Arabidopsis thaliana: one gene and its partners. The protein of the gene in region 2 interacts with the protein of the main gene of each other region in a pairwise test. Each region holds a gene or a part of one and is shown on either strand. Other genes may lie near its edges.

Region 1 (10,479 bases), on a different chromosome or scaffold from region 2:
CGCAGAAGGATTATATCGTAGTAGGCTCAGATTCGGGTAGAATTGTTATACTTGAGTACAACAAGGAGAAAAATGTGTTCGATAAAGTTCACCAGGAGACTTTTGGCAAGTCTGGTTGCAGAAGAATTGTGCCAGGCCAGTACGTGGCTGTTGATCCCAAAGGAAGAGCTGTTATGATTGGAGCTTGTGAGAAGCAGAAATTGGTTTATGTTTTGAACAGAGATACCACTGCTAGGTTAACTATTTCTTCTCCCTTGGAGGCTCACAAGTCTCATACCATTTGCTATTCTCTCTGCGGTGTGGACTGCGGTTTCGATAACCCGATTTTTGCAGCCATTGAGCTTGATTACTCCGAGGCAGATCAGGATCCTACTGGCCAAGCCGCTAGTGAGGCTCAGAAGCATTTGACTTTCTATGAGCTCGATTTGGGGCTCAACCATGTCTCTAGAAAGTGGTCTAACCCTGTTGACAATGGTGCCAATATGCTTGTTACTGTTCCTGGAGGAGCTGATGGCCCGAGTGGAGTTTTGGTTTGCGCCGAGAATTTTGTTATTTACATGAATCAGGGTCATCCAGACGTGAGGGCTGTGATTCCTAGACGAACTGATTTGCCTGCTGAACGGGGAGTTTTGGTTGTTTCTGCCGCCGTGCACAAGCAGAAGACAATGTTCTTCTTTTTAATCCAGACTGAGTATGGCGACGTTTTTAAGGTCACCTTGGATCACAATGGCGATCATGTCTCCGAGTTGAAGGTTAAATACTTCGACACCATTCCCGTCGCATCCTCTATATGTGTGTTGAAGCTGGGATTCCTCTTCTCTGCTTCGGAATTTGGAAACCATGGTTTGTATCAGTTTCAGGCCATAGGAGAGGAACCTGATGTAGAGTCTTCCTCCTCTAATCTGATGGAAACCGAAGAAGGTTTTCAGCCCGTCTTTTTTCAGCCTAGACGACTTAAGAATCTTGTTAGGATTGACCAAGTCGAGAGTCTGATGCCGCTCATGGACATGAAAGTCCTAAACATTTTTGAGGAAGAAACCCCTCAAATCTTTTCACTTTGCGGCCGGGGTCCACGATCCTCTCTAAGGATACTGAGACCTGGTTTGGCCATCACTGAGATGGCTGTCTCTCAGCTTCCAGGTCAGCCAAGTGCTGTGTGGACGGTGAAAAAGAATGTGAGCGATGAGTTTGATGCATACATCGTTGTCTCTTTTACCAATGCTACTCTTGTTCTTTCGATTGGTGAACAAGTTGAAGAAGTTAATGACAGTGGGTTTCTTGATACTACCCCATCCCTGGCTGTCTCTCTGATCGGCGATGATTCTCTCATGCAAGTCCATCCCAATGGTATCCGCCACATAAGGGAAGATGGACGCATTAACGAATGGAGAACTCCTGGCAAGAGGTCAATTGTTAAAGTTGGGTATAATCGGCTTCAAGTGGTCATTGCATTGAGTGGGGGAGAGCTTATATACTTTGAGGCAGATATGACTGGCCAGCTGATGGAGGTGGAGAAGCATGAAATGTCTGGTGATGTGGCTTGCCTGGACATTGCCCCTGTTCCTGAAGGAAGAAAAAGGTCTCGCTTTCTTGCTGTGGGATCTTATGATAATACTGTGCGCATTCTATCTCTGGATCCTGACGACTGTCTGCAGATTCTCAGCGTGCAAAGTGTCTCTTCAGCTCCGGAGTCTCTGCTATTCCTCGAAGTTCAGGCATCGATTGGTGGAGATGATGGTGCTGATCACCCGGCAAATCTCTTCCTCAATTCTGGGCTGCAGAATGGTGTTCTTTTCAGAACTGTGGTGGACATGGTGACTGGTCAGCTTTCGGATTCTCGCTCCCGGTTCTTGGGGCTGAAGCCTCCCAAGCTATTCTCCATTTCTGTGAGAGGCCGGTCTGCAATGCTGTGTTTGTCTAGCCGACCTTGGCTTGGTTATATTCACCGAGGACACTTCCATTTGACGCCTCTGTCTTACGAGACTCTGGAATTTGCTGCCCCCTTTTCATCTGATCAGTGCGCTGAAGGTGTTGTCTCTGTCGCTGGGGATGCTCTGAGAATTTTTATGATTGATCGTCTTGGTGAAACATTCAACGAAACAGTGGTCCCTCTGAGGTACACGCCTAGAAAGTTTGTTCTCCATCCCAAGCGGAAGTTGTTGGTTATTATCGAGAGTGACCAGGGAGCATTCACCGCAGAAGAGCGTGAAGCTGCAAGAAAGGAGTGCTTCGAGGCTGGTGGAGTGGGAGAAAATGGCAATGGCAATGCAGATCAGATGGAGAATGGTGCGGATGATGAAGATAAGGAAGACCCGCTTTCTGATGAGCAGTACGGTTATCCAAAAGCAGAGTCTGAAAAGTGGGTCTCTTGCATCAGAGTTCTTGATCCCAAGACAGCTACGACAACTTGTCTCCTGGAACTTCAGGACAACGAAGCTGCATACAGTGTCTGTACGGTGAATTTCCATGATAAAGAGTATGGTACACTGTTGGCTGTTGGTACGGTCAAAGGGATGCAGTTCTGGCCCAAGAAGAATCTAGTGGCTGGGTTCATACATATTTATAGGTTTGTGGAGGATGGGAAATCTCTTGAGCTTCTTCATAAGACGCAAGTAGAAGGTGTTCCTCTTGCTCTGTGCCAGTTCCAAGGAAGACTGCTGGCAGGGATCGGACCTGTCCTCAGATTGTATGATTTGGGGAAAAAGAGACTGCTTAGGAAATGTGAAAACAAGCTCTTTCCAAACACCATTATCTCTATCCAAACTTACCGTGACCGTATATACGTTGGTGACATTCAGGAGGTGAGTGGTAGATCCTTTTTCCTATATATTTTACTTACTACTGTGTGCTTTGTTTTATAGAAATATCTCATGTAGCCTTTTCATTATCGTTTTGCAGTCTTTCCATTACTGCAAGTACAGGCGCGACGAGAATCAGCTGTACATATTTGCGGATGACTGCGTGCCGAGGTGGCTGACAGCATCGCACCATGTGGATTTCGATACCATGGCAGGTGCAGATAAGTTTGGGAATGTGTATTTTGTGCGGTTGCCTCAGGATCTGTCGGAGGAGATAGAAGAAGACCCGACTGGCGGGAAGATCAAGTGGGAGCAAGGAAAGCTGAATGGAGCACCGAACAAAGTGGATGAGATAGTACAGTTCCATGTTGGGGACGTTGTGACGTGCTTGCAGAAAGCTTCGATGATCCCAGGTGGATCGGAATCGATAATGTATGGAACAGTGATGGGTAGCATAGGGGCATTACATGCTTTCACATCCCGTGATGATGTGGATTTCTTCTCTCATCTGGAGATGCACATGAGGCAGGAGTATCCTCCTCTCTGCGGGAGAGACCACATGGCTTACAGATCTGCATATTTTCCGGTCAAGGTAATAAACCAAAACCCATTTGCTTTTCCTCCAAATCAAAAGAAGTCCCTTGATTTTGAATTTGACACTTTTTGCATCTTGTAACAGGACGTGATAGATGGAGATCTGTGTGAGCAGTTCCCGACACTCCCAATGGACTTGCAGAGGAAAATAGCAGACGAGCTGGATAGAACACCTGCGGAGATTCTGAAGAAGCTCGAAGACGCAAGGAACAAGATCATTTGATAACACACGAAAAGAGAGAGAGAGAGTCATTGTTTTGTTGAAGGACAAAGTAGAGAGTAGAGAAGAAAGAGGTTATAATAGATTTTGTAAAGCTCTTCAATGGTTTGTTAAACAAAACCCCGCTCTTGTGAAAACTGATGAATTAATTGCAAGTTTACTTTTGAATCTACAACAGCATGAAACAGTTGCACCGGTAAGGTTTCTTCCATATTCAGGATTCCTAGTAGCTATGGTAGTTCTTGATTCGTTCATGAGAAGCATTGAGAATTGTGAAGCAGCAGACAAGTGGGAGCCTCGCCTGTCTCAACAAAAGATCAGGAACTGCAGACGAAGAGATCTGAGTTAATTCAGAGGCTCTTAACACCAGCCATTCTCGTTGAGAGCAAAAACAAAGATTGAGGATGCAGGTGAGCTAAATGAATCTTCTGCAACATCAGACTTAAAAAGTACCTGGTAAGATACAAAAACAAAGAATTATTTCACATTTTCTGTAATCAACATTTATCTCTTTGTTAACTTTGTTAGCTAAACATGAAACTTTTCCTTTTCCAAATCTCAATCACAAATTGATTTTCAACAAATCCGATATTATCTGAATCCCATATTATCTCAAATTCGATAAATTTTATAAATCATTATATACACCGTCTTATTACATTCTTATAAATAAGAGACAATATAACTAACTAAACTAACTATATCTCTTACGAAACATACTTTTCTTTTTGTCAAAGCTCCAAAGTTACTTGATGACGATGCCTGGAAGAAACAAGCGCAAAGAAAGATCCTGGCCGGAACCGCAAACGCAACCACAGTCAGAGATTCCTTCTTGTCTTCTTTGGCAGCTGTTAACATGTCTCCTCCGTCGACGATAGCTTACGTATTACCGCCAGGTTTTAAGTTTGTGCCAAACGATGAAGAAGTCATCCATTGTTACTTGAAACCTTACTCGGACGGCAACACGAACGTATTGCTCCATGTTCCTATTCATCTCGTCAATATCTACGAGTCGAATCCACAAACACTTTCAGGTTAACTTGTCTCCGTCCATATGTATTGTTTACTTAGTTGAATTCTTTAGTTTATTAAGTTATTAACATATATCTATATATATATATTTTTGAAACAGAGGAATTCCAGAAGGGTAACGATAAAGAATGGTTTATTATAACGGAGAGGAACAAAGTTGATCAAGGTTTAAGCCAAACAAAGAGAGTTGGTTATGGTGCGAAAAGGCAGAAACGTGTCGACACTAACGGAGGATATTGGCACGCAACAGTGGCTGCCCAAAAGATCAACGCTGGAGATGGTGTCGTTCGCAACAAAAGGCCACTGGCATACTACGTTGGGAAACCATCAGAAGGCGTCAAAACTGATTGGTTAATGCAAGAATACTCTCTTGATCACTCTTCTCACAACAACGACAAGGTAAGAAGTGTTTCTTGGTTCCCAAGTTATTTAGGTTTTCAAGTTTTGGATTCTGTTTTGAGTCTTGTTTTTGTTGTGCGTCTAGGATTACACTTTGTGCAAGATCTATCTTACTCCACAAGCAACAAAGATGAATAAAGAAGTGGGAGAAGAGAAGAAGAAGCAGAAGAAAGGAGAAGCCGTTGTTTCAGTTGCACCTGTGGAAGCATTGGAAGAGCAGCTGCCTTGTAATGTCGAGTATCATCAACCGCTAGCACCGCTAGATTCTTGCCAACCGCAGCCTCATGATTTGGCGTATCAACAGCAGCAGTTTTGTCCAGGCCCACTGGATTCTTATCAACCGCAGCCTCATGATATGGAGAATCAGCAACCGCATAATGAGAAGCTGAAGAAAGAAGAAGACGTTGAGCAGCTGGATTTGCATCAACCAGACCAAGGAAAAGGATGCTAATTGATCTCTTTCCTCTATCGGCAATGTTCTCCAAAACCAGAGATAATTCTCCCTGTCTTTATTGCTTTTGATGCCTTGATATAAAACATTTATACTCAATTTGTCCAACATTTTCTTAGCGTCTTAGACTTATAAACTAACACATACAGATATAGATATAAAACACCGGTGTATTCCAGTTTCAGATTACCCAAATATAAAAAATTTGTGTTTTGATTTGTGGGTGGGTTAAAGATTTTCGTTATATAATACATTAGATCTTAAAACCAACAAATAAGTTTCTTCAAAGCCTAACTAAATATACTCTAAACAAAGTTGTAGATTTAAAGGTAAATTTGGACTTTGTTACATCAGTTTTCACAAGAGCGGGGTTTTGTTTAACAAACCATTGAAGAGCTTTACAAAATCTATTATAACCTCTTTCTTCTCTACTCTCTACTTTGTCCTTCAACAAAACATTTAGCTCACCTGCATCCTCAATCTTTGTTTTTGCTCTCAACGAGAATGGCTGGTGTTAAGAGCCTCTGAATTAACTCAGATCTCTTCGTCTGCAGTTCCTGATCTTTTGTTGAGACAGGCGAGGCTCCCACTTGTCTGCTGCTTCACAATTCTCAATGCTTCTCATGAACGAATCAAGAACTACCATAGCTACTAGGAATCCTGAATATGGAAGAAACCTTACCGGTGCAACTGTTTCATGCTGTTGTAGATTCAAAAGTAAACTTGCAATTAATTCATCAGTTTTCACAAGAGCGGGGTTTTGTTTAACAAACCATTGAAGAGCTTTACAAAATCTATTATAACCTCTTTCTTCTCTACTCTCTACTTTGTCCTTCAACAAAACAATGACTCTCTCTCTCTCTTTTCGTGTGTTATCAAATGATCTTGTTCCTTGCGTCTTCGAGCTTCTTCAGAATCTCCGCAGGTGTTCTATCCAGCTCGTCTGCTATTTTCCTCTGCAAGTCCATTGGGAGTGTCGGGAACTGCTCACACAGATCTCCATCTATCACGTCCTGTTACAAGATGCAAAAAGTGTCAAATTCAAAATCAAGGGACTTCTTTTGATTTGGAGGAAAAGCAAATGGGTTTTGGTTTATTACCTTGACCGGAAAATATGCAGATCTGTAAGCCATGTGGTCTCTCCCGCAGAGAGGAGGATACTCCTGCCTCATGTGCATCTCCAGATGAGAGAAGAAATCCACATCATCACGGGATGTGAAAGCATGTAATGCCCCTATGCTACCCATCACTGTTCCATACATTATCGATTCCGATCCACCTGGGATCATCGAAGCTTTCTGCAAGCACGTCACAACGTCCCCAACATGGAACTGTACTATCTCATCCACTTTGTTCGGTGCTCCATTCAGCTTTCCTTGCTCCCACTTGATCTTCCCGCCAGTCGGGTCTTCTTCTATCTCCTCCGACAGATCCTGAGGCAACCGCACAAAATACACATTCCCAAACTTATCTGCACCTGCCATGGTATCGAAATCCACATGGTGCGATGCTGTCAGCCACCTCGGCACGCAGTCATCCGCAAATATGTACAGCTGATTCTCGTCGCGCCTGTACTTGCAGTAATGGAAAGACTGCAAAACGATAATGAAAAGGCTACATGAGATATTTCTATAAAACAAAGCACACAGTAGTAAGTAAAATATATAGGAAAAAGGATCTACCACTCACCTCCTGAATGTCACCAACGTATATACGGTCACGGTAAGTTTGGATAGAGATAATGGTGTTTGGAAAGAGCTTGTTTTCACATTTCCTAAGCAGTCTCTTTTTCCCCAAATCATACAATCTGAGGACAGGTCCGATCCCTGCCAGCAGTCTTCCTTGGAACTGGCACAGAGCAAGAGGAACACCTTCTACTTGCGTCTTATGAAGAAGCTCAAGAGATTTCCCATCCTCCACAAACCTATAAATATGTATGAACCCAGCCACTAGATTCTTCTTGGGCCAGAACTGCATCCCTTTGACCGTACCAACAGCCAACAGTGTACCATACTCTTTATCATGGAAATTCACCGTACAGACACTGTATGCAGCTTCGTTGTCCTGAAGTTCCAGGAGACAAGTTGTCGTAGCTGTCTTGGGATCAAGAACTCTGATGCAAGAGACCCACTTTTCAGACTCTGCTTTTGGATAACCGTACTGCTCATCAGAAAGCGGGTCTTCCTTATCTTCATCATCCGCACCATTCTCCATCTGATCTGCATTGCCATTGCCATTTTCTCCCACTCCACCAGCCTCGAAGCACTCCTTTCTTGCAGCTTCACGCTCTTCTGCGGTGAATGCTCCCTGGTCACTCTCGATAATAACCAACAACTTCCGCTTGGGATGGAGAACAAACTTTCTAGGCGTGTACCTCAGAGGGACCACTGTTTCGTTGAATGTTTCACCAAGACGATCAATCATAAAAATTCTCAGAGCATCCCCAGCGACAGAGACAACACCTTCAGCGCACTGATCAGATGAAAAGGGGGCAGCAAATTCCAGAGTCTCGTAAGACAGAGGCGTCAAATGGAAGTGTCCCCGGTGAATATAACCAAGCCAAGGTCGGCTAGACAAACACAGCATTGCAGACCGGCCTCTCACAGAAATGGAGAATAGCTTGGGAGGCTTCAGCCCCAAGAACCGGGAGCGAGAATCCGAAAGCTGACCAGTCACCATGTCCACCACAGTTCTGAAAAGAACACCATTCTGCAGCCCAGAATTGAGGAAGAGATTTGCCGGGTGATCAGCACCATCATCTCCACCAATCGATGCCTGAACTTCGAGGAATAGCAGAGACTCCGGAGCTGAAGAGACACTTTGCACGCTGAGAATCTGCAGACAGTCGTCAGGATCCAGAGATAGAATGCGCACAGTATTATCATAAGATCCCACAGCAAGAAAGCGAGACCTTTTTCTTCCTTCAGGAACAGGGGCAATGTCCAGGCAAGCCACATCACCAGACATTTCATGCTTCTCCACCTCCATCAGCTGGCCAGTCATATCTGCCTCAAAGTATATAAGCTCTCCCCCGCTCAATGCAATGACCACTTGAAGCCGATTATACCCAACTTTAACAATTGACCTCTTGCCAGGAGTTCTCCATTCGTTAATGCGTCCATCTTCCCTTATGTGGCGGATACCATTGGGATGGACTTGCATGAGAGAATCATCGCCGATCAGAGAGACAGCCAGGGATGGGGTAGTATCAAGAAACCCACTGTCATTAACTTCTTCAACTTGTTCACCAATCGAAAGAACAAGAGTAGCATTGGTAAAAGAGACAACGATGTATGCATCAAACTCATCGCTCACATTCTTTTTCACCGTCCACACAGCACTTGGCTGACCTGGAAGCTGAGAGACAGCCATCTCAGTGATGGCCAAACCAGGTCTCAGTATCCTTAGAGAGGATCGTGGACCCCGGCCGCAAAGTGAAAAGATTTGAGGGGTTTCTTCCTCAAAAATGTTTAGGACTTTCATGTCCATGAGCGGCATCAGACTCTCGACTTGGTCAATCCTAACAAGATTCTTAAGTCGTCTAGGCTGAAAAAAGACGGGCTGAAAACCTTCTTCGGTTTCCATCAGATTAGAGGAGGAAGACTCTACATCAGGTTCCTCTCCTATGGCCTGAAACTGATACAAACCATGGTTTCCAAATTCCGAAGCAGAGAAGAGGAATCCCAGCTTCAACACACATATAGAGGATGCGACGGGAATGGTGTCGAAGTATTTAACCTTCAACTCGGAGACATGATCGCCATTGTGATCCAAGGTGACCTTAAAAACGTCGCCATACTCAGTCTGGATTAAAAAGAAGAACATTGTCTTCTGCTTGTGCACGGCGGCAGAAACAACCAAAACTCCCCGTTCAGCAGGCAAATCAGTTCGTCTAGGAATCACAGCCCTCACGTCTGGATGACCCTGATTCATGTAAATAACAAAATTCTCGGCGCAAACCAAAACTCCACTCGGGCCATCAGCTCCTCCAGGAACAGTAACAAGCATATTGGCACCATTGTCAACAGGGTTAGACCACTTTCTAGAGACATGGTTGAGCCCCAAATCGAGCTCATAGAAAGTCAAATGCTTCTGAGCCTCACTAGCGGCTTGGCCAGTAGGATCCTGATCTGCCTCGGAGTAATCAAGCTCAATGGCTGCAAAAATCGGGTTATCGAAACCGCAGTCCACACCGCAGAGAGAATAGCAAATGGTATGAGACTTGTGAGCCTCCAAGGGAGAAGAAATAGTTAACCTAGCAGTGGTATCTCTGTTCAAAACATAAACCAATTTCTGCTTCTCACAAGCTCCAATCATAACAGCTCTTCCTTTGGGATCAACAGCCACGTACTGGCCTGGCACAATTCTTCTGCAACCAGACTTGCCAAAAGTCTCCTGGTGAACTTTATCGAACACATTCTTCTCCTTGTTGTACTCAAGTATAACAATCCTACCCGAATCTGAGCCTACTACGATATAATCCTTCTGCGCACCAGTCAACCTAAACTGAGCTAGGGATCTAATTGCACCAAATACTTCTACAGAGTGTATCGTCTGGATCTTACCGTTCTCGTCGGGACGGAGAAGATCCAAAATCTTGCCACGAGCTACCGCAATCTCCTGTGTCTTCCCGCCGGAGAAGTTCCCGTTGATTGCGCAGACGATTCCGGTCGCCTGCTGCAGAGTAAGACTGTACAGATACATCTCTCAAACTAGCAAGCTACAACCACCAGCAACGGCTAGGATTTAGGAGAATCCCCGAAACTGGAAGGACTTGAGGATGGTTTTGGCTCCGAGTTTAAGTGAACTCCTAGCGCATCTGCAACTTCGGATTTGGCAGATTTTGGTGAGGAACGGAAAGAATAAACCCTATATAATGAATTACCGCCATAGCTCCAAAGCTCTACGACGGAAGTGGTGTTCCTCTGCTAGGCGGTGATTCAATCATGGGCCTAACTTTTGGATCTAATATAGCAATATTGGCC
Region 2 (11,507 bases):
TCCTTCTCAGTTATTGGAAAACTGGCAAGTAAACTGATAATTTTTTCTTAAAATCTTTCTGTATTAACACTAAATCCTAATAGACGGAATATAATTCTTGTATCTCTAGGTGTTACGAAAGTTTCACGTTGAAGTTAATATCAGGTTATCGTCAGGTGAGCGCTTCTCACGACTAAATTGTTGACAATTGTTCTTGTCGTAGACTAGTCATAATAATTTGTTTTAACCTGGGATTTATTCCTGCAGGATATCACCAAGCCACTTGTGGATGAAGTCTGCAAAACACTCAAACGTTGGCGATATTCTTTCTCTGCACTAAAGTCGCTTCAGGAGATATTATACTGTGAGATATTAATTGACTTTTAATGATGCTTATATACCTTTTCATTTTGACTTCATTGTAGTTTTTAAACTGAAATATCAATTCCTCACAATCGTTAGGACAAATGGTTTGTTAGTAAGACGAGTAGATTGTGGTTCTTATTATGCTTTAGAGGAAGCAGTAGTTAACTAAGAAGTCTACTAGCGGGTAAAATGTGGTATTGCCTAATGATGCTTGAAATATGGATGATCAGGTCTATTTGATCAAATAATATATTCGGACGATGATGCTGACTTACTCCAGCTAATCAGGAGTCTTCATCCAAAGGTAAAAGCATAAACTCTCAAAGCAATCTGGTCTGTTTACGGCAAAGAAATTTTCTCATACTAGTGTCTTTCTATATATAGGTAATGATAGGGCTACCAGTGGTGGAAGGAACCAACCCTGCTTCATGTTTCCCACGTGCTGTAATTGGCTCTGAAGCAACATGTTACAGTCGTTTATGGAGTGAGGTATGATTGATTTGCACTGTGGTGATCCGTACCTTCCATGACTTTAGTCTGAGAATCCACCTATTTCCACAGGTGTATGCTGCTGATATATTTGCTTCAAAATTTGGAGATGGGCATCCGAATCTATATGCCGGCTTGCAGTTCAGAGACAAAGTGAGAAGCGTATTTGTTTGTCTTTCCTTTGATTTAGTAGTGTGTGAGTGTAAAAGGACTAAACAAGTAACAACTACTTTCTTATTAGGTGTTGGCCCCAGGAGGAGGCAAAGAACCAATGGAACTTCTCACCAATTTTCTTGGAAGGGAACCATCAACACAAGCTTTCATCGCTAGCCGGACAAACTATAGTTTGTAGTATTTTGCACCTAACATTAGGTTCCAGTGAATCTGGTAGCTGGTGAAAATAAACATTTCTTTGGTTGTTAGAGACATCGTTTATTGATGTTTGTTAATGTGTTGAGAGGACCTAGCGGTTTAGGTGGAAACTGTAATCATTCATTCTTAGTTTCTTACCTTTCTCTGCATCGCAATCTCAAATTACGAAGAGTTATATAACATAGTGATCATCATTGAGCATGTACGGTGTTGAAGATAAGGACTTGTCTCGATCAATTTACAAGACAGATTCTAATATTATGGTTTTCTTCTCTTATTAAGACAAGAATAGTATTGTCTTTTTGGTTTACTTTGGAAATAGGATTGTAACAGGCCTTAAAGGTAAGTAGTTTCAGACATACGTAAAAGAAAAGAGTTTCAGATTACCTTATGAAGTACGGTTCTGGTTCGGTTTAAACTGGTTTGAACACGTGGCAGGTACAAGTAGATAAGGTACGAATCCACGAAATCATCATCTTCCCCAAACCAAATAATCTCTCGTTTCTAAACAAACTAGTGGTGAGTGAATCTTCTCTGGTGAGTAATGGAAGTGAGTATGTCTTTGAATGCGTTAACTCGGCTTCCTCTGAAGAACACAGGAAGATTCGAAGAGGTTGGTTTAGCGAGACACTCTCTGTTTAGCTCAAGAACGGCATGCCGAGAGACGGCGGTACAGCAGCGGCGGATGGTTTTTGTGGTGGAGGCTAAGGGAAAGAAAGGTATGGCGGCGCGTCAGTATCAACGTACACCTCCTCCTATGCCTAAGATTGAAGACGATGGAAACCCAAGATTCGTTATCTTCATTCGTATGGCCAATGTTCGTCTCTTTTCCACTCTTTCTTCACTTAGCTTGGATTAGGAGATAATTAAACGCTTAAACATGTTAGCTTTGCTTTGGTTCTGTTTCCAAAGTTATATACTTTTTTCAATTTGATACTCCTAGACCAATTATTAGATTGCAAATCATCTGGTTTCATCAAATTTGGATTTTTCAACATTTCAGCTCTTTGTTCTAGTACGTGTTTGTTTATAACATGAATTAAAATTGTTAGCTTGATTGGTTTTGTTTGCAAAGTTATGTACTTTCTTTCATTCGATCCTTTTAGATCAATTATCAGATTGCAATTGTGTTCTGGTTTCATCAATGCGAGTGTTCTTTTCAGCATTTTACTTTTTGTTGTAAAAAGTGTTTCTTGTGACGTGAACAGGTGTATCTTTGGTATCCTCTGAGTATAATAGCTGGTGGTACTACTGCTAAGATCATGGTTGCTGCAAAAGATAACCTCTTGGGGAAGTATATCTACAAAGACACCATTGCAAGAAACATTGCCGCTGTTATTTACAGAGTAAATTACACAAGCTTCTGCTTATTCTTGTGTGGTTGATTCCACTATTAATATGTGTCTCTTTAGATGTTATTTCTAATTGTTTTTATCTTCAACAGGATGAGAAAGAGATTCAAAAGACAGCAATTAAGCAGCATCGTGTCTTGCGTACAGCCACCGAGTTTCGATATGGCTACAAACTTGTAGTAATGCTCTCAAAACCCTTTTTCTTCAGTTATTGGAAGCTCTGCTTCATTTTGTAGTTGATGAGACCGTAGGAAAAGTTTTCTGGTTTCGTTTTCACTTATTATGGCTGTATTATACATTCAGGAAAACGGAAACATGAGAGCTGCACTTAGTACTTCAGATGTTATTGAGGTGAGCTATACTTAACTACATGAGATCAGCTCTCAAACTTCCTACAGTGACACCAAAAGGATGCTGTTATAGATGTTTTGTCTGAAACGTTTGTGTTTTGTCCTGAACCATCGCAGCTCCCAACCCAGGACCAGCTTAAAACAGTGTTCGACAAAGTTAAAGACTACTTTGGGGATGCAAAAGAGTCATTCGGAAAGCTATCATCGCTGAACCCGGGGAGTGACGAAAAAACTGAAGAAACCTCGGATGAGAAAGCCAAGTAAGTATAAACAGGTACTGAATGTTTCTTCTTTTCATTTTCACTAGAATTTTGGTGTTTTTCACCAAAATGATATACAACCGTTTTACAGGGCCTGAGGCTGAACAATTGACACTTGGTTGGTTGATTTTGATGTCTCAACCGTCTCGGTATGGGCTGCAGAAGGTCACTGGATATGACGAGACTACCGCTATTTTGTGCACATTTTCTCTATACATCTCTCACAGAAACAGCTTCTGTTAAATCTCTTGTAACATATAACTTATTGTGTATTGTAGATTTGTTGAAAGAAAGAGCCATTGGTTACAACTTGCAATTTCAACTTTTCTTAGACATTGGTCAAACAATAGTAGTCGAAAATAGGAAAACTTCCCACTATATCTTTCGAAGAAACCCTTAACTAGAACTGTGAACAAGATATGCAAAAGCTTCGTGAAGGTGAGAGCAAGACCATTTGCAGAGATTTAGTAGAATCTCCCTGATTGCTCCAGTAGGTAAAAAATCTAGTTCTGCGCAGTATTGGCGACATCTGACTGTCCGAACATTGCAATATGGTGTGTGTAGCTTCATAAATTGTTTGTTATGAATAAATTAGAGCTTTGTCAGGTAACTAATCCATTGCCTGCATAGAAAGATGTTAGATAGTTCAAAACTCTGAAGTTTCCCATCTTGGATCTGGTGGCAAGTGGCAACTGTTAGATATCTTCGATGTAAAACGTTTCCCGTAACACTCATTTGTATATCTGCTCTAAGATTGTGAACTCTCACATTATTTGATGATAAGGTTATGGGACAGATTCTCAACAGATAAAAGAACATCACATGTGGCAACTGTTAGATATCTTCGATGTAAAACGTTTCCCGTAACACTCATTTGTATATCTGCTCTAAGATTGTGAACTCTCACATTATTTGATGATAAGGTTATGGGACAGATTCTCAACAGATAAAAGAACATCACATGTGTTGGAGTAAGGAGGTAAAATTCCTAAGTTTTGCAATTAGATTCAATGTGTAGTAGAGATCTTTTTTTCATGATATGACATGCAAACTAATTTCCTTCCAGGTGACAGTGAAGATCTTAAGCGACGGTGTGAAACATGTGGCCTTATCACTGTCATCAACCTGTTTGGTGTAATTAGCCTACGACACTCGTGGATTATTGTACAATGCATCCGATCATGGAAGGTTCTTGGGAAAGCAAGATTATTTTCAGGTATACCCACAAAATCTTTCTGCATTACACCAACCAATATACGAAAAGAAGTTATTGGAACAAGGTTAAGATATGAATAAACCTTGGTCTACCATGAAGGAATACTCGTCAGGGTCAGGCAGCCGCTCATTTCCATACCAATTAAGGTGGGCTGGGAGCTCAGATAGGAGTGATGGGCTACTACTGTAATCTTGAAACTGGAGTCCGGTGTTTGCAAGAAAACGCTCGCCTTGAAGCCAAGTCAAGTCTAAGTCAGTGTCTAAAGAAACAGAATGATGTGATTCTGGAAGTTCCCAGTTCAAGCTTCTCAGAATCGCCTCTGTGTTGAACTCCTGCAGCTTCATGGCAGAGGGATCCAAATCTTGAAGGGTTACAGTAGGGATCTTGTCTTGTGGCATGAGAAACTCATCTGCATTCACACTACTGCCTCCTGCTGGTGTCTCATAAGGAGGCTTCATTTCCTCCTCCATGAGAGATGGTGCAGAATTTGCAACATAGGAACTTTGACTTGGCAATGGTTGTTGCTGGAGAAAGCTATTCTCATACAGAACCGGCTTCGATTCAAGGACCTCTGGAACATCATTCCAAGGAAGCAGAGAGTCAAACGCAGAGGAGGAAATGGGAGGATCAAATCCTATACGCGTCTTTTTTGTTTTCGGAGGCATGATCACATCGGTGTTGAGGTCAGACAAAGAAGCTGAAGCAAGTGGCTTTGGATCAATCTCTGTTGCTTTTTGGATCAGAGAATTTCCTCCAGAGAATACATAGCTGCTCCTCCCAGGGCTTTGGTAGCCTGAATTCACTTCGACATCTTTTGGAGATGAATCCGCATTCTTCACGCCACCTGAATAACACTTGAGCTCCTTTCCTTTCTCTAATCTGCTCAGGTAAAGTCTATATTTCTACAAAAACAGAACAAAAAAAAAGTGACGAAAAGCTTAATCTAACACTTGTTCTGAATAATGATGATGACAAGGTAAAGTTTTTACCTGAAGGTGGCTTGCAACATTTTCTCTAGTGAGCCATGGAACATTCATGAGATCCAATATCTTCTTGGGACCAGCTTCTGCCAAACAAGAGACCGGAAAAAATTTCACGGCTCTATGAAGACATGATAATAAAGGGAGGCAAGGGGACATGATAAGAAACCAAAGTCGCCAACGTACTTACTGTGATCGCATCCGATTTGGTTAACGGCGTTGACAAACTTATGATGAAGCTCAAAAGACCAAACAACTCTAGCTTTCTTGGAAGAAGAAGATGATGGATCACTCTCATCTTGAAGAAGCTTCTTCTCAAAGTCAAAGTCTTTTCTCTTTTTCCCAAAAGAAACATCTTCACCACCTCCAAGAAAATGTGCTTCATCGTATCGAGTGATCCAATCCGCTCCTCCTTCGTATCCACAGCCTTCGATATCTCTCACTTCTTGAAGCTTCTTTCTCAGAACATGTTGCCATATAATCTTTAACTCCTTCATTCTTATCGGCTTCAAGAGGTAATCACAAGCTCCGTGTTGCACTCCCTTCATCACTCGGCTTGTTTCGCCGTCCACCGACATCACTACAACGCAAAACACACAAAAATCAATAACCTTTTTCATTTATTACACAACAAGTCAAGATCTTTCTTCTCACTTATTACAGGGAGGTCTAATTCAAGACCAACATGCTCAAGAAGCTTGAAACCATCCATGTCAGGCATGTTCACATCGCTGATCACGATATCATATCCATCTTTACGCTCCCTCAGCAACCTCAAAGCCTCTCTAGCTAATCCACAGGTCGTTACTGCAACATAGGAAAGTAAGGAGATATTTTAGTAAATCCAACTGTTGGGGAAAACATAAGATAGAAGAAGAAGAAAGAGACCTTCGTAAGAACACTTCTTGAGCATTTTCTCGAGAATCTTGAGCCAAGTTGGATCATCGTCTACGACAAGAACCCTTAGACCGACGGGAGAGAAGCCGCTTTTCTCCATGATCGCCGGCGAAAACAAGAAAGAGAGAGAGAAAGAAAAAGAGCAGAGAAAGTGGCGAGAGTTCTTTTTTTGGAAAGGAGAAAGTGGGAGTGGGTTTTTGTTTGCGTTTTATTATGAAACGACGACACTTCAAATATTTTGGCGTAGTTTAGATAACGGTCACCATGGCGTATGTTAGGTTTTATCTCCCGTCGTACTGGAATTTCCAAATTTCTCTCTGTTTTTAATTTGAAAACGAGGCTATAAAATATTAATTTATTTGTGGATTACTTTTGAAGAAGGAATTTAGTTCGGTCTAAGTTCACTGCCAAAAAAAAGTTGTTGAAACTCTTTTCTCTCTCAATTTGTAAGTTGACGTCTCTCACTGCTCCATAATCCCATATTCTTCCAATAATTTAGCTTTTCAAATTGTTCTTAAGATATTGACATGATAATATTGTGGATTATATCACCTTTTTATAGTTATTCTATAAAACTAAAATAATTATCTTCTACACTCTTTGGTATTTTATACGTAAATATGGTGATCGTATTTAGATTTAAACTTCTATATTTATGGGATCGTATTCAGAGTGCATCATCATTTTATCATGTAAAAATATTGACAAAACACACACAAGCAACTCTATATATAATGCAGTGTCTTGCTTAGATGTGTGCAGGGCTAGGACAAGTTTATAAAATGTGGCTATCATCATAGTTTTTAAAAATAATCATAATACTGAATCGGAAAAAATATTAGTATCAAAAACTTACAATGTAAAAAAATCAATAATACGTTATTCTTTTTGTTTTTATATGTTTTTCTAATAATGTTATTTGTTTTAAATATTTATATTTACTAATTATGATGTATTACTAAATGATTCTTACCAAAAAAAATATATTACTAAATGATGTGTTTTCAAGATAAGAAAATGGTCTATAGATAAAGGTATAGTTAAGAATATAATTTTCACGAAAAAAGTTTCATTTTAACAATTATTTGTTATCAAAATAACAAAATTGATAAGCTTATTATTTTATAAAAATTTGGCCTTTAATTTAAACTTTTTTTTTGGCTTTAGGCATTTGCCTTTTTGCCATAGGGTAGTCACGGCTCCTATATAATGCAAAGTTTTACATGTATATTAGTGTGTCTGATAACCTAATGTTAAATTAGATTTAAAAAACTATCGTTCATACATCAAGAACATAATGTGTTTGAGAAAGCTTAAAAGTTAAAACATTATGTCTCAAAATTTTTAAAAAATCAGCTTCTCGCCGCAAACAACTTAAATTACATATATGCATGCAGCATGTACGTCACGTCTAACACAAAATAAACTCTTTAACTAGTGAGGTTTCTCGACTCGGTTTAATAATGCTCGTAAATCATCAAATCCTTAACAAGTCGATGTAATGTTTAACCTTAATTAAGGCTTAAAATGTTTGATCTTTGACTCTGAAAGACTTTCAATGTTTGATCTTTGACTATAAAAGACTTCAAATGTTTTGACCTTTATATTCTATTGAAAGAAAATAAGTAGAAAGACAAAAGAATAAAGGAAAATGGTACACAGCTTGTCATGCACAAAGCTTTTTTATGGATAAGGACGTGGCCCGTAGAGACTTGACAAAACACACAACATATATACTTCCTCATTAATTTCTATTATTATATACGTACAAGACAGCTAACTAATTGCACAAACTTTTTGGCCATGATAAAAAAGAATAACGCATTATAGATTTAGAAACAGTGTCGTTGTTTGGGAGTTTGTGGATTTGCACAGTACACTGGCCATGTTTCTGTTGATGGGATCAGGGACGAGGTTTGCATGTGACCTGCATTTAAATAGCTAGTCTCACTTTCATGATTACTATTTCATTACTGTCCAACTTTCATATCATATATTATATATTATTGAGATGTAGAATGAGAATCAAAGTCTATCTAATATACTGTAAGAAACATGTAAAAATGTCTAACAAATTTATGGTAATTCAGTGATTAAAAACTGCGAATATTGCACAAAATCTTACGTATATTTTTTACAGTGCCGGCTCTAGGGGAGTGCTACAGGAGCAAAAGCACAGGGTCCTCAAAAAAAATTTCAATTTTCTTTAAGGTTTTAGGGTCCAAAAATTTTAGAAATTAAAAACCAATATTAACTAAAGCCAGTTTTTATAAATCAGCACAAGGTCTTCAAAAAGTTTGAGCCGGCCCTGATTTTTTACCAAAAAAAACAAAAAATGTTACGCATACTTTTCTAACATCTTTTTGATTGTACAAATTGTTTTCAAAATAGGTCGAAAAAAGTAAATATAAATTTCCTTGAATCGGAATCTTCCGACTAACATAAAAATTAAAATGTCTCTCTTTATCTAAAAAAGAGAAGAAACAAAAAAATTATTCTGCTTTAATTTTGAGTGAGTTAATGTTTTTTTTCAGAGTTGTGGTCGCAATATGTTTGAGTTTGGTATCATGCAACACAACATCTATCGTCAAAGAGATGCATGCTTACGACTTTATTTCCTTTCATCAAAACGTAACTTGAGTTACTTATTTTTGTCTATTAATGTTAAAGAAACATATGATGCGCCAACATTATTTTTAACTCACCTTAACAAAGCCATTCTTCATTTGTTGTCGACGTTACGGCAATGTGTTTTGCGTAAAGATGGGTTATCACTTCATTACAAATCTCATAGAATTAGAGAATGTGTTCTACATATCATTAAAGCTTATCAATGGATCGATCTATATATGTTTCAAATGCAAATTCGTTAATTTCATTTGTTGTCTCTCTACATCAAAATTTGGCTCACATCTTTCAAAAGTGTGCTAAGATATGAATCCCACTCTTTCATACTGCCATGGCTTAATTATTAATGTTACTAAATATCCTAACCTCGGCGAAAAGAAAATCTACGGATTTCACAAAACGTAGAAGACGTATTCGCTCAGGGAAGATAAAGGAGCTCTACGTGACCAAGATAAAACATTGGGTTTGTGTTTCTACTCGTGTTGTGGATATATTCGTCCATAGGTTAATGGAATATATGTTTATATAGAATAGACATAGAGAGGTTATAATAAATGCGCCACAAAAGATGCACTAAGGTTGGATTAGACCCACACAATAAAAAATAGGGCTCGTGAGTCATTTTCCCCAATCACCTGCCGACATTTGACACTTGTTGTAGTCAAATTGTAAATCCATAAATTTGTGTAATGTCGCAATTTTGTTGGCTCGTGGCGTCACGCGCTGCTTTGGAACATTAATCTTTAATTATGTGCATGTAAATATCAATGCTAGTGCTTTAATTATCCCTCTAATTATTGGGTAGTATAAGTATAAAACCACTACCAATAACATTAATCGTCCCTTTAAGTGAAGTTTCTCAGTACTTTATTTCACGATTTTATATTGTTTGATACTATAGTAATTGAGTAATATTAAGAAAAGTATAATAATTGCAAACCAATGAGTGTGTTAGTGCATCCTATTAAACGGGTGTGACATCCACCTCCGTGACATATGAACTTATGTACACTGTACACACCAACAATGCCTATTGGTGTATATGTGTATATATATATTATTTATGTACAATTACTATATTAATACATGAAAATGAGTTTTGTCTATGCATTTGTGGATTACAAATTTTTCTATCACAAGAATTACTACTTTCCTATTTTTAATACATATGATACATAACAAAATTCCAAATTTATCTGTTTAAAATCTAAATGAAGTTAACTAGCTAATACTATGATGATAATGTAGCAGAGGTCAAGAAAAAAATGAAGTTTACTAATTTGAGAAGAAAAAATCTATACTAAGATCTTAAATTGAAACGATAAGATATATAATTAGACATTTACTTTTATTTCATGTATGTGAAAACTCTAAAACAACAAATTTTGTAAAATGGAATAAAGTACTATGTAATTAGATTAAATAGTTAATGCCAGCACTAATTAAAGCTATACGTCTCAAACCCAATATAAGTTGGGAAGAAACTTATCAAATTATTATATACTGAGTAAATAAATGTGTAACGAATAAAAGCATCAGAAATTCTGTAATGTGCCTTTGCAATTATAACTAATCTACCATCTAACACTCCAATGATTCATTGAACCATTTGCCCTACTACCCTAGTAACCCTACCGGTATACTCCAATAAGATATTTTACGACATTTCAACCTTATGTACCTACTTAAACATATTTTCGATGTTAAAAATAAATGGAAATCTTTCACTGTTTCATTTTATTAATTCTTTAACGACTAAGTATGTTTTGACAAAAAAAAAAGACTTATTACGTAATCTAATCGTAGATTGCAAATGGCTAAGGCTTATTTTGGAAGGAGAGGACTTGGTTCATATATGGAACGACTTTCATGGAGCCAATGATAGGCACATTATAATTCTTTTGTCTCTAAAAGTCTCCATAATCATTTGGTTACCACACACCAAAAAAAAAAAAAAAAAAAAAAAAAAAAAAAATTGAAGCCGCACATGAGACCTTTTCGAAAATATATTAACTCAAACTTCTCATTTAAAAATTTCATTTGAAAACAAATATGATATTTTCATAAATATTTTTTATTTTTTTTATCATAGGTCTAAATTCATATACAAATTTAGCATATATATTTAAAGGTGTGTATATCTAAATTCTTGCAATCAAATTTGTTTTGTTTTTCGATCTAAGTGGTTTGAAGACAACTCTCAGTGTTCTCTGATTCTTTCTCAAACAAAGTTTAACCAAGAAGACTATATAAAAATTTGAAGTCGTTTTCAACTTAAAAAATGGATTGGCTAAAAGGTGAAACTTTTGAGAAGTAGGGGAGAGAATGAACTTTATACATTCAAACAAGCATAGAAATTTCAAAATGATCCTCAAAATTATTAATATTATAATAAGTATTAGGAAAAGTAACTAAATGGAAAATGCCCACTAACAAAGTACTTTATCCCACAAGGAGAAATTAACAAATATTTTACGAAAAGAAAAAGATGTATATGTATGATTGGTGTCCAACAAATTAGAAGGATCAAGATTAACTTCGTCCTTCTTATCTTTTTGGCGGACACTTTCGCCTTCTTCTTATTCTTAATTTGATAAAATTATGTCTCTTAAAATATT
Region 3 (10,957 bases), on a different chromosome or scaffold from region 2:
AGACCCTTAGTTTTTGTAATGTTTTCTTTTATAAATTCGTAAGTTGTTAATACGAGAGTTTTGGTTCTGATAGCTACATAGTCCATTCAAAGTTTCAAATAAAAAAGCATTGCAAACGCATAGCAAAGTTGATATAACAACTTAATTAATACTAGAAGAGTTTTGGTTTGGATTGGTTGGGACGGGGTAGAAATAGATAGAAATAAAACGTTTGGGGTGGAAATTGATAGAAATAAAAAGTTTGCATGTGAAAAGAGAAGAGAGAGTGGAAAGAAAGATGACGCTTGGCACGAGGTGACGAGGGAGCAACCACTTATTACCAAATGTTATTCTTTCATTCACCTTCTTTTAAATTTCTCTTCTTCTGCTCCTAAAACCGAAAGCAAAACTAAAAAAGGTTGAAATAAAAACAAAAAAGCTCTCTTCTTTATTAGTTTTGATTCTTCGTCTTCTTCCTCTTCTTTCTTTATAATTTTCTTCTCAGAGAAAGAGAATTAATAGAGAGAGAGATCATGGGAGATGAAGATGTTGATGGGAAGTGTAAAAACATGTCTGCATGTTCCTCAACGACGTCGTATTCAACTAAACTCTTTCTATTCATGGTTCCTCTTGTTGTCATTTCTGGTTTCGTCTTTGTAAATATTGGTCCTAAAGATTCAACTTCTTTATTAACCTCTCTGTCCACTACTACTTCTCATCTTCCTCCTCCGTTTCTGTCTACGGCTCCGGCACCGGCGCCATCTCCTCTGCTACCGGAGATACTTCCCTCGTTGCCAGCATCATCTTTATCGACTAAAGTGGAATCTATTCAGGTTAGAGAAATTACTTAGGAATACCTAAATTATTCCTTTCTTCATTCTTCATCTTTGCATGTCTTTTTTCTTTTCCGGCTATTTTATTTATTTCTTTTCTGTTCTTATTTGTTACTAACAAATACTTATGTTAATGTTTTACCAACAGATATCATAACATTTATGTTTTAAATTCCGTGGTCAAACTACAGTCAACTGTAAAAAATATTTTGTCAACTAGTCAAATGTGAATTTTAATTCGTTTTTATTAAGGACGAGAGAAGCAGTCGCATCAAAACCGCAAAATAAGAAAGCAAAGATTACAGTTTTTTTATATATGTAGGGTCGGGTGATATAAATTTGAACTAATTAATCAACTAACTAATGTTCATATAGTTTTGATTTCTTTTAAAGTGATTTATTTACTGATATGGAACCATTCTTTAATTTCATTTATGTACAATAGTCTAGAGAATAACAATGATTGAACAGGGTGATTATAATCGCACAATTCAACTGAATATGATCAACGTTACTGCAACGAGTAATAACGTCTCTTCTACGGCATCATTGGAACCAAAGAAAAGAAGAGTTCTTAGCAATTTAGAGAAGATAGAATTCAAGCTACAAAAAGCTCGAGCCTCCATTAAAGCCGCTTCGATGGATGATCCCGTGGACGACCCGGACTATGTTCCTCTTGGTCCTATGTATTGGAACGCTAAGGTCTTTCATCGGTAAGTGAAATGAATAATTATGTTTACTTTCTATATTTATTATTCTGAAGTTACTGCAATTTGGATTCGCTAAGAATGTATCTGAATTAAATTTAAGTTACACGGTTTGGAACTGTGAATTTATTGGTTCGTCAAAAATGTATTTGAATTAAATTAAAGTCAAACAGGTTGGAAACTATCAATTTATTTGAATTAAATTGAAGTCATACAGGTTGGCAGTGTGAATCATAATTATGGCTTGGAACTGGATTTACTTTTTACTAAATTGATGGGGAAACCTGGCCAGGAAGTTTCAATTAAATTTGAGTTACGTTTTTAGTAGGTTTTTATATTTAATTTCTTGCTAAATACTAGTAGTAGTTTGTTTCCATTAAATTAGTAAATGCAATAGATTTGTGGTGTCCCATCTTATATGCGTAGCGTAAGCAGAGCAAGGAATCACATACCTTATTTTTTTGGAGGGCTAAATTTCTAAAATCAAAAATATTATTATTGGCCCATCTTACATGGTTTAGCAAAATAAGGTAACCAATGATAGCGTAACTTGTTGATTGATCTTGAAAACCATATTAACTTAGACAAGACATTCGAGCATGTGCACAAAAATGTTTTCATGTGGTCTAGAGTAGAGAGTGAAACAGATTTTCTTTTGACGATTTGCTAACACTACCATGATGTGGTTACAATGTTTTGTTTATGTATTGAAATGTTTAGGAGTTACTTGGAGATGGAGAAACAATTCAAGATATATGTATACAAAGAAGGCGAGCCACCGTTGTTCCATGACGGTCCATGCAAAAGCATCTACTCTATGGAAGGAAGTTTCATCTATGAGATAGAAACCGATACACGTTTTCGGACCAATAATCCCGACAAGGCTCATGTTTTTTATCTACCATTTAGTGTCGTCAAGATGGTAAGATACGTGTATGAACGAAATTCCCGCGATTTCAGCCCCATCCGAAATACAGTCAAGGATTACATCAATCTTGTGGGTGATAAATACCCATATTGGAACCGCAGCATCGGAGCCGATCATTTCATACTTTCTTGTCACGATTGGGTACGCTATAACAATATATTTGGCTTATATCTTCTGGTTAGCTAGTTATCGTTATAATCTTGAAATTTTTTGGTATAGGGTCCTGAGGCAAGCTTCTCTCATCCACATCTAGGACATAATTCGATTAGAGCTTTGTGCAATGCCAACACGTCAGAGAGATTCAAACCAAGAAAAGATGTGTCGATACCGGAGATCAATCTAAGGACGGGATCCTTAACTGGATTGGTCGGTGGACCGTCACCTTCCAGCCGTCCCATCCTCGCCTTCTTTGCAGGGGGTGTACACGGACCGGTAAGGCCAGTCTTGCTCCAGCATTGGGAGAACAAAGATAATGACATTAGAGTCCACAAGTATCTCCCTAGAGGAACGTCTTATTCTGACATGATGCGGAACAGCAAGTTCTGCATTTGTCCTAGCGGTTATGAGGTTGCGAGCCCGAGGATCGTGGAGGCACTCTACTCGGGTTGCGTCCCGGTTTTGATAAACTCAGGATATGTTCCTCCGTTCAGCGATGTACTGAACTGGAGATCGTTCTCGGTGATCGTTTCAGTGGAAGACATACCGAATTTGAAAACGATATTGACATCTATATCGCCGAGACAGTACTTAAGGATGTACAGAAGAGTGTTGAAGGTAAGGAGACATTTTGAGGTGAATTCTCCGGCTAAGAGGTTTGATGTGTTTCATATGATTCTTCATTCGATTTGGGTGAGGAGATTGAATGTGAAGATTCGTGAAGTCTAAGTTTTGTCAGATTTTTTTTGTTTGTTTGGCGTGTGTAACGAAAAATAATTGAAAAGTCCCGGGATTGTTTGTGTGTGTGTGTAAAATTATAATTGGGCGTTTTTCTTCATTAATTTGTAATAAACAAATAATAGTTATATTTGCATATTTTAATATGTTAACTTAAAAGTTTACAAATAATCAGGCGTCAAGGAACATTCGAAGAAGAAAAATAGCTTGTGCACTGAAATACTGTGACGATATAATTAGGCGACTTTTTGGTGTTCATATACTAATACTCTGTTAATTAATTAATTTCAATTGAATTATTTTAGTTATTACTTATACATGTGTTCAATGTTTAGGATCAAGTATATTTCAGTTTAAAGACAGCTATTCGAAGTTGGTTTGTAAAATACTAAAATTGGTTCAAAATTTGATTGGCCCATTACAAGTTACACATCTTACCAAACTTTAAGCTCAGATTCACTGACTCTTAGTTAGGCCCAAAATAACTCCTGACTAGGCCCAAACAAACTAGCAACGACGGTTCCAAATATAAACAATGGAGTGGCAGCTTCGTACTACTTCTGATCACTTTATGGCTTTTGCGTCTGATGTTTTATCAATATGAGACAGTTATTGGAATACTGTCAAGGTTACAATTTTTATGATCTCTGATTCGAAATGTAAAGTTCTTAAATATTTAACAACTAAAGCCTTCTTCAATCAAAGCTTACCTGGAGACAGTCATGTACATATAAAGATTAGCTTTTTACCAAGCTACAACACACACACACACACACACACACACAAAGCCTAAGCAGCTTTTTTTTGCGTCAAGAGGTCTCAAGTTCGGTGAAGGGAAGCGGAAAATGCTGAGCATCAGTGTCAAGATTTGTACAATCTCGTTTACTCTCGTCATTATTTTGGTTTATAGCTAGTTTTGTTTCGGACATTCGCCAATTCTGAGTGTTCATAGTATAGTTGTTCAACAAAACCAACTCAACAATTTTCAGACTCAATCTCGCATCCAAGAACGTGCCATTTATGTTTTAAGATCGTACAATGAGAGAAAGCTTGTCTTAGTCTATAACACTACTAAAGTCCTAGTCTAAAGCTCTATTTGACACAATCTCTCTCTCTCTCTTTCTCTCGTTCTCTCATTCTCTTTCCCTCTCTCTGAGATCAGCAACATCTATCAGGGGTATGACGGCCAGCCAGAGGAAGCAACCAGCATCGGATTGTTGTATTGACCGTAAACTTGATTCCCTCCGGTGATTTGATTTGCGTTCATATTCTCCGTTCTTGGATGAGCTACCACCACCGATGAAATCTCCACCGTGTCTTCCTCACCGGAAACTTTGATGGTCCCGGCAGAGATTTGCTTCTTGATCAAACCCTGGTCTCTTAGTAAAGCTCTCAGCTTCTTCACCTGCACCACCAATCCAATTTTTTAAGGGGGGCAATCTGATAGAATCAAGACTTTAAGGGATAAATTAAGAAAACGATAATATGTAATTAGATCCCATGATTTTAATTTTGTGCAATATAATACACAAACCTCATCGTGTAACATTTGTTTCTCCCTAGAAACGACGTCGTACTCTTGTCTAAGCGAGTCGTACAACTGCTCAAGCTGCTTCGCCTTCCACCGTGCACGGCGGTTTTGGAACCAAACTGCTATCTGACGTGGCTGCAGACCGAGCTCTCTCGACAGCTTCACCTTCCTGTCTGAATCTAATTTGATCTCTTCTTGAAAACTTCGCTCAAGTGAAGCTAATTGTCCACTCGTTAGTCTCTTCTTTTTTATCATCTCATTGTTGTTGTTCGGAAATCGGTACGCATTCATGATCTTTTCTGATTCCGGTACAGAGATAACCGGTCCGGTTTGTGTATCGCCAGGCGTATATGAATTTCCTGCTGTTAAACATTTTAGCAAACGCCCCGAAAGGATAAAAGGAAATATTTAAACATAGAAGCGCAACAATATAATCATTATACGAAAAAAAAAAAAAAAAAAAAAAAACTTCCAAAAGTATAAGAAGAATAAAATTATGTCCGCAACCATTTTTCTTAGAGTGAACTATACCATAAACGAATCTCAACTTTTCAAAAGTGACGTTTTACCTTTTTGCATTTGGATCCCAAGAAATTGTTTTTGTAGGATCCCAAGAAAAAAGTAAGAAACTTTATTTATAGATATTGTAGACTGAAGATAAGAAAATCTTAGCTTCTCATCAGAAAAGTAACGTTTTAGTTGACATTTGGAATGAAGTTTAGGGACGTCATATTTGAAATTCTTTACATCATTCACAGAAAAAAAAAAACTTCTTGAGAACATTTGCAAGTGGGATAAATAAGGTTTTAAAGTTCATGAATTCGTCAAATATGGAATTAAACACATCTAAAAGTAAAAAAAACGAAAGCATGTAACATATGCAGACTTGGTACGATGGTGTGTGAATATACCTGCGTAAGGATCAAAGTTGAAGCTGTGGAGCGAGTTAAAGGAACTAGACTCCGGCCATGGCGGTGGCATGAAAGCTACTCTCACGTTTTCTACGTTGCTCGTTGTTGACCACTCCATCTCCTTTCTTTCTTTTGTAGTTCTTGTGAATATCTTAATATATATAAGAAGACATGAGAGATGGTCTATAAGGAAGAAAGATATAGGATCTAATACAATGGATAAAAGAAAGAAAAGAAAATTAGGGTTTTATTGGACCACAAGGGAAGGGGTAAGAGAGGCGTGACAAGAAGTTTCTTCTTCTATGTACTTTGTCTTTTGGAGGTGTAACAAAGTGTGAGAGCACGCAGTGTTCGAAACAATACATATATAAATAGGGATATGTATCTAGAGGGAGATATAGAGGTGTAGTGAAAGAGACAGAGTGAAATTGTCTGTGTTGTGTGAGGTTTTTTTCACCTAATAAGGGAGCAACCCAACAGTACCTTTTGTTTTGGAATTTAAAGATTGAAAAGGAAAGTGTGATATAATTTTGTCTCATTTGCACATCATCAATCATCATCCATCATCTCTCTAACATTAATATAGGTTGATATATTTTGTTGTGTCCAAGGGTCAAACTTGGAATTTTTAATTTATTTTCGGGAAACTGTTTTTTCTTTCGTATTAGTTTTTTTATAATATATATACTATCATGACACCTAATCTACTTGTTTATGTCAATATTATCGTTGCGCTTTTTCGATAAACATACAAATTGTAACAATTTATAGTGTTACAGAGTTTGCAAGATGATGTGAACCAACCAAGACAATACATGTTTTAGATTTAAATAAAATTGATTTTGCTACAAAATTAGAGGTTTTGATAATATCATATTTTTTGAAGAAAAAACAAACAATCTTGAGCCTTGTGTGAATGCACCAAATATTCCTTTTGAAAATCTAGTGTAAACCAATAAATGGTAAATCAAAATCTGCATGGATTAATTATATTTGACGGAATTTCTAAACTTGGGACTTTTTAACATTCACATAAATCTACTTGTGGCCTTTAACATTTAAACCACCGTCTTAATTGACTGAATTTTATAAACATGGAAACATAAATGTAGTTGAAAAGAAATTGATGAGATTTTATATATAAATATATTGTAATTTCGTGTAGTAATATAGGTGGGGGTACGTATTTGTCAAAGTTAAGCTTAAATAAGTGAAAGAGAAAGAGTGAAACGAAACTAATGGTCCCCCAAAAACTCCATAAAAACTGACAATGTGGTTCCCCCCTTCTTTGGTTATGCCTTCATTCTTGGTCCTAAGATTTTCAGTTATTGTTTTGTCTTATATATACACCATCTAAATCTACTTATATATATGTGAAAATTAATGTGCAAAAGGTTTGGCACTAGTGGCAAGTCCATACCAATGTATATGTGCAGTAACCTGTATAGAGTATATAGGGTGAGGCCAAAAGCTACCTTTGAAAGCTAAGAATCAACACAGAGAGCTAAGTAGATCATCTATAAATAAAGAGTCTGATATGACCAATAAAAGCCAAAGCAAAGAAGAAGTTTGAAAACTAAGTCTCATTGTCTTCATCTACTGTGTACTCTTTACCCCCACATTCTTTATTAACTTGCAGTTCTACACACAATCTCTCTCCCTATATCTCTCTCTCTCATATTCAATTGCTACTTAACAAATTGTTGATGTGTAAATAGTGTAAGAGATGGAGAGAGAAGGGTAGAGAGGGAAGGAAAGGAATCTTTTTCTATGTTAAAAGTAGATAGGGTTTGAACAGATTGATGATAAGTAATGAGATTTAAAACTAACGACAGTGTATAAGAGAAAAGGGAAGCTTTTAAGCCTAAACCCTTGAAAGAGATGAGACATCACAGTTTTCATAGTGTATAATTTTTTTAAGAATATTTTTATGGTTTTTTTTCGATGATTGCATTCATTGTAAAGGATCCGTTTGATAACAACATTTCATACTCTATTTTCTTAAAAAAATAATATGCAAATTTCACTATTTTAGCTAAGACCCTACGTAAAAAGTCTTCGATATGGACCAAAAATAACGTGTTTTTAACTTTTAAATGTTTACGTGTTACGCCAATATATATATGGTTTTCCTTGTCTGGATTAAATGAGAAATAAGACCGATTTGTATTCGAAATAAACTAAAATTAAGACCCATAAAATCATTTAGAATCATCATTCAGCTTGAAATTCCATTTCTTTCTTATCCGTTTTGTCCTATCGCCACTAATCCTTTTAACTTTTTGTGTATTTAATTATACATTCACATACGAAAATATATAATGTAATATTTATTCATAATTTCGTATACATCTTTATTAGAATAGAGCTAGTGATGAAGTTATAGGGTTATATATTAACTCTTCGAGTAGTAGATAATGTTAAGAACCAGAAGGTAATTAGTTGGGTTCATGATGAATGATTTCACAGAATCTTAAAAGTTAAAAGCCTTTTGTTAATACTGTCAAACAAATTAAATAATATCCGAATAAAAACTTTTAGCAGAGTCTCACTCTCATCTCCATGCATGCATTAGAAAAAAAAAAAAAAAAAAAAAAAAAAAAAAGAGGAGAGCCAGAACTAAAAACTCAGATATTGAGGAGAATCCAACATGTACAGGTATAATTCACAACTAAATTCCTTTGTTATTGTTCTTTGAGAATTGAGACTTTCCCCAAATGATTTCATTAGTTTTTATATAACATACACGATTTCATATAGACGACAAAAATAAAAATAAAATTAAAAAGACGATTTCATTTAGATCCATCAGTTACTAAGATCGGTAATCAAGAAAAAGGTCCCCCCTTCTTGGAGGAGCTAAATTTACTTGTCACATTATAGTAAAATGTAGGGACTTTATAAGGAATTAGAAGTAAGAACTTATATTATATAACAATTGAATTCCAAGTATTTATGCTATATATACGATATAACTGAGAATTGCTTAATGTGAATATGAAATATATAATGTGAATTATACATTTACTTTTTTATTTTTTTGATGGGTTTTGTTGGGTTAAACTAATTACCACCCTCACATAGATAAATGGGATAGTAAGATTTATTACACCACCATTAAATAACTCTAGAACTGAAAAGGTAAAAATATTGTGAAGAAGGCTAAAGATGAATATAACAGTGAAGGTTAAAGTTGGTACAGTGTCTCCTTTTTCACTATTAGTTTCAAAATCGTAAATACGTAACAATTAAATCCCGCCGTTAAAGTCAGACACTAATTTAAGACCATATTTATAACATTCATTTTACAAATTTTAATTGTTGCTATGCAAATTGACCAGACATATATAGTAACAAAAAAGGTAAACAAGTTCCATAAGACTAACCCACTTATACATTGCAAGTTTATTACTTACAAAAGTCAACAATATTTTAAAATTTAGTTAGCTACAATCTTCTTTTAACTTAATTGTTGAAGGCTTGTGGAACTAAAATGGTCATGACTCATGAAGACCTAACACATATGTAGAAGAAAGAAACCCTGTTTTATGGCGTATCAACTAAACTCTCTGTTTTTTTTCCTTTCTATAATAACTAGCTTAGTAGTTTCATGATTTAAAAAATTAAATATATTTATTATTTTAATCTCATTATAGTAAATATTTATATGTGTTAAAAAAAAGTAAATAATTATTATGATGAATCATCCGACATATAGTCTCTAGTATATACATGTGTATGTTTTATGCGTCAAAAAAATATGTGATTTATTTTCAAGAATTTAAGTCAATTAAAAAGAATCATTTACGAATGTAAAACTTTTCTGTTAATGAATTATGATTTTATATATTGATTACACTATTGTTTAAAGTTGAAATTTTAATGTCAGTAAATATATAAAAATTCTAAATAAATAAAAAAAAGTTAAAATATATTTTTGATTCAATATACATAAAATTTTGGGTTATCCGTATAATTAATTAAAAGGTGAATTGACTTCTTCTATATTTGCTAAATTTATCACATAATACTTTTTTATTTTGTTTATTCATCCATCTTCCTCAGTACGCTTCACAATTGAGAAGAGACACTCTTCACTGTTCATATAACGTCCCCATTGTTGAATTCGAGAGTGCCAATTTTAAACCGAGACTGATGATTGAGAAGAAACTGTCGAAGATGAAGATGAGAACCAAATCGATTCCGGTTAGGTCTTCGCGCAAATCCCTCGATTCGCTTCTGGTAAACCTATTTCTTCCCTTCGTCTCTATTTGCTTCTCGGAACAGTCTCCTTTAGAATCGGAAAACTAGAGCTTGTAATTTCCTGGTGCAGCTACATGACTGATTTTGGTTTTGATTTTGATTCGTATGTTATAATCAAAGCTTGTTTTGGATTCTGTGTGATTGTGGAGGTTGAATTTTAAATTTGGAACTCGCGAAATAGAAACTGTTACGGTTGATGTATTTGTGAATGATTTCTGGTCATCCTTTCACAGGATGATGAAGCTAATGAAAACACACAATGTGATGAAAGAGATGTGCCACACAAGAAGCGTCGTTGTCTTGGGACTAGTGAGACTACTGATAGAGGAGGATCTGTAGAGCCGCTGCTGGACTTGGATGCTTGTATTGTATGTGAAGTTTCAGACGAGCGGGTATCTCGTTGTTGCGGGGTTGACTGTCTTCTTTCGTTTCACGGCGAGTGTTTGTATGCTGATTTGGGTAGTACTAGTAGTAGTAGTAGTAGTAGTAGTGAGGATGTTTCGAATCCATTTTGTCCTTATTGCTGGCTCAAGATTGTTGCACTGAAATCCAAAACATTGAGAGAAAAGACCGTTGAGGCGGAAAAGGCGGTCTGCAAGTATCTAGATAAAGAGATGAAAAGCAGGGATGAGGATATAACCTTATCTGGTGATGAAATTGGAAACCAAGAGCAGAGTACAGACATTGTAAGTGATCATGAGTTACAAGGAGAGAAGGATGGCTGTTCATCAAAACCAGATGCGGATCAAGGGAAAGTGGGTACTGGTAAAGTGATTGACGAAGTTGGAGCATCAGAGAAGGTAGCTACAGAAAAATTTCAAGACGCTGAAGATGATGAAACAGCTAAAGATCAAGGTACAAGAATCCTGAATACAGGTGCAGGGAAAAAGAGAGAGGTTTCTTCGTTTTTG

What was found.
Region 1: the proteins of ARR11 (region 2) and NAC063 interact in a two-hybrid assay, tested with the Arabidopsis thaliana proteins (one large-scale study listed by BioGRID).
Region 3: the proteins of ARR11 (region 2) and HB51 interact in a two-hybrid assay, tested with the Arabidopsis thaliana proteins (one large-scale study listed by BioGRID).

What each region holds. Positions count from the first base shown.
Region 1 is NC_003074.8:20,460,747-20,471,225, forward strand, and holds NAC063 (NAC domain containing protein 63), read left to right. Parts: upstream 1-4,348; 5' UTR 4,349-4,468; coding exon 4,469-4,646; intron 4,647-4,744; coding exon 4,745-5,043; intron 5,044-5,128; coding exon 5,129-5,494; 3' UTR 5,495-5,673; downstream 5,674-10,479. Other genes in the region: SAP130a (Cleavage and polyadenylation specificity factor (CPSF) A subunit protein), read left to right, coding at 1-2,801, 2,899-3,390, 3,478-3,615; SAP130b (Cleavage and polyadenylation specificity factor (CPSF) A subunit protein), read right to left, coding at 6,370-6,507, 6,595-7,086, 7,184-10,198.
Region 2 is NC_003070.9:25,372,545-25,384,051, forward strand, and holds ARR11 (response regulator 11), read right to left. Parts: upstream 6,674-11,507; 5' UTR 6,362-6,673; coding exon 6,253-6,361; exon of another isoform or gene 6,172-6,252; coding exon 6,019-6,171; exon of another isoform or gene 5,985-6,018; coding exon of another isoform or gene 5,945-5,984; coding exon 5,555-5,944; intron 5,451-5,554; coding exon 5,374-5,450; intron 5,287-5,373; coding exon 4,450-5,286; 3' UTR 4,135-4,449; downstream 1-4,134. Other genes in the region: AT1G67690 (Zincin-like metalloproteases family protein), read left to right, coding at 1-24, 110-155, 247-343, 576-649, 730-834, 907-987, 1,076-1,186; AT1G67700 (multidrug resistance protein), read left to right, coding at 1,751-2,023, 2,415-2,552, 2,651-2,737, 2,862-2,909, 3,026-3,168, 3,260-3,266. UniProt on the Arabidopsis thaliana protein: Transcriptional activator that binds specifically to the DNA sequence 5'-[AG]GATT-3'. Functions as a response regulator involved in His-to-Asp phosphorelay signal transduction system.
Region 3 is NC_003076.8:999,929-1,010,885, reverse strand, and holds HB51 (homeobox 51), read right to left. Parts: upstream 6,105-10,957; 5' UTR 5,902-6,104; coding exon 5,784-5,901; intron 5,232-5,783; coding exon 4,876-5,231; coding exon of another isoform or gene 4,768-4,875; exon of another isoform or gene 4,747-4,767; coding exon 4,513-4,746; 3' UTR 4,255-4,512; downstream 1-4,254. Other genes in the region: AT5G03795 (Exostosin family protein), read left to right, coding at 513-812, 1,284-1,525, 2,240-2,588, 2,667-3,332; TRFL10 (TRF-like 10), read left to right, coding at 9,939-10,025, 10,280-10,957. UniProt on the Arabidopsis thaliana protein: Putative transcription factor.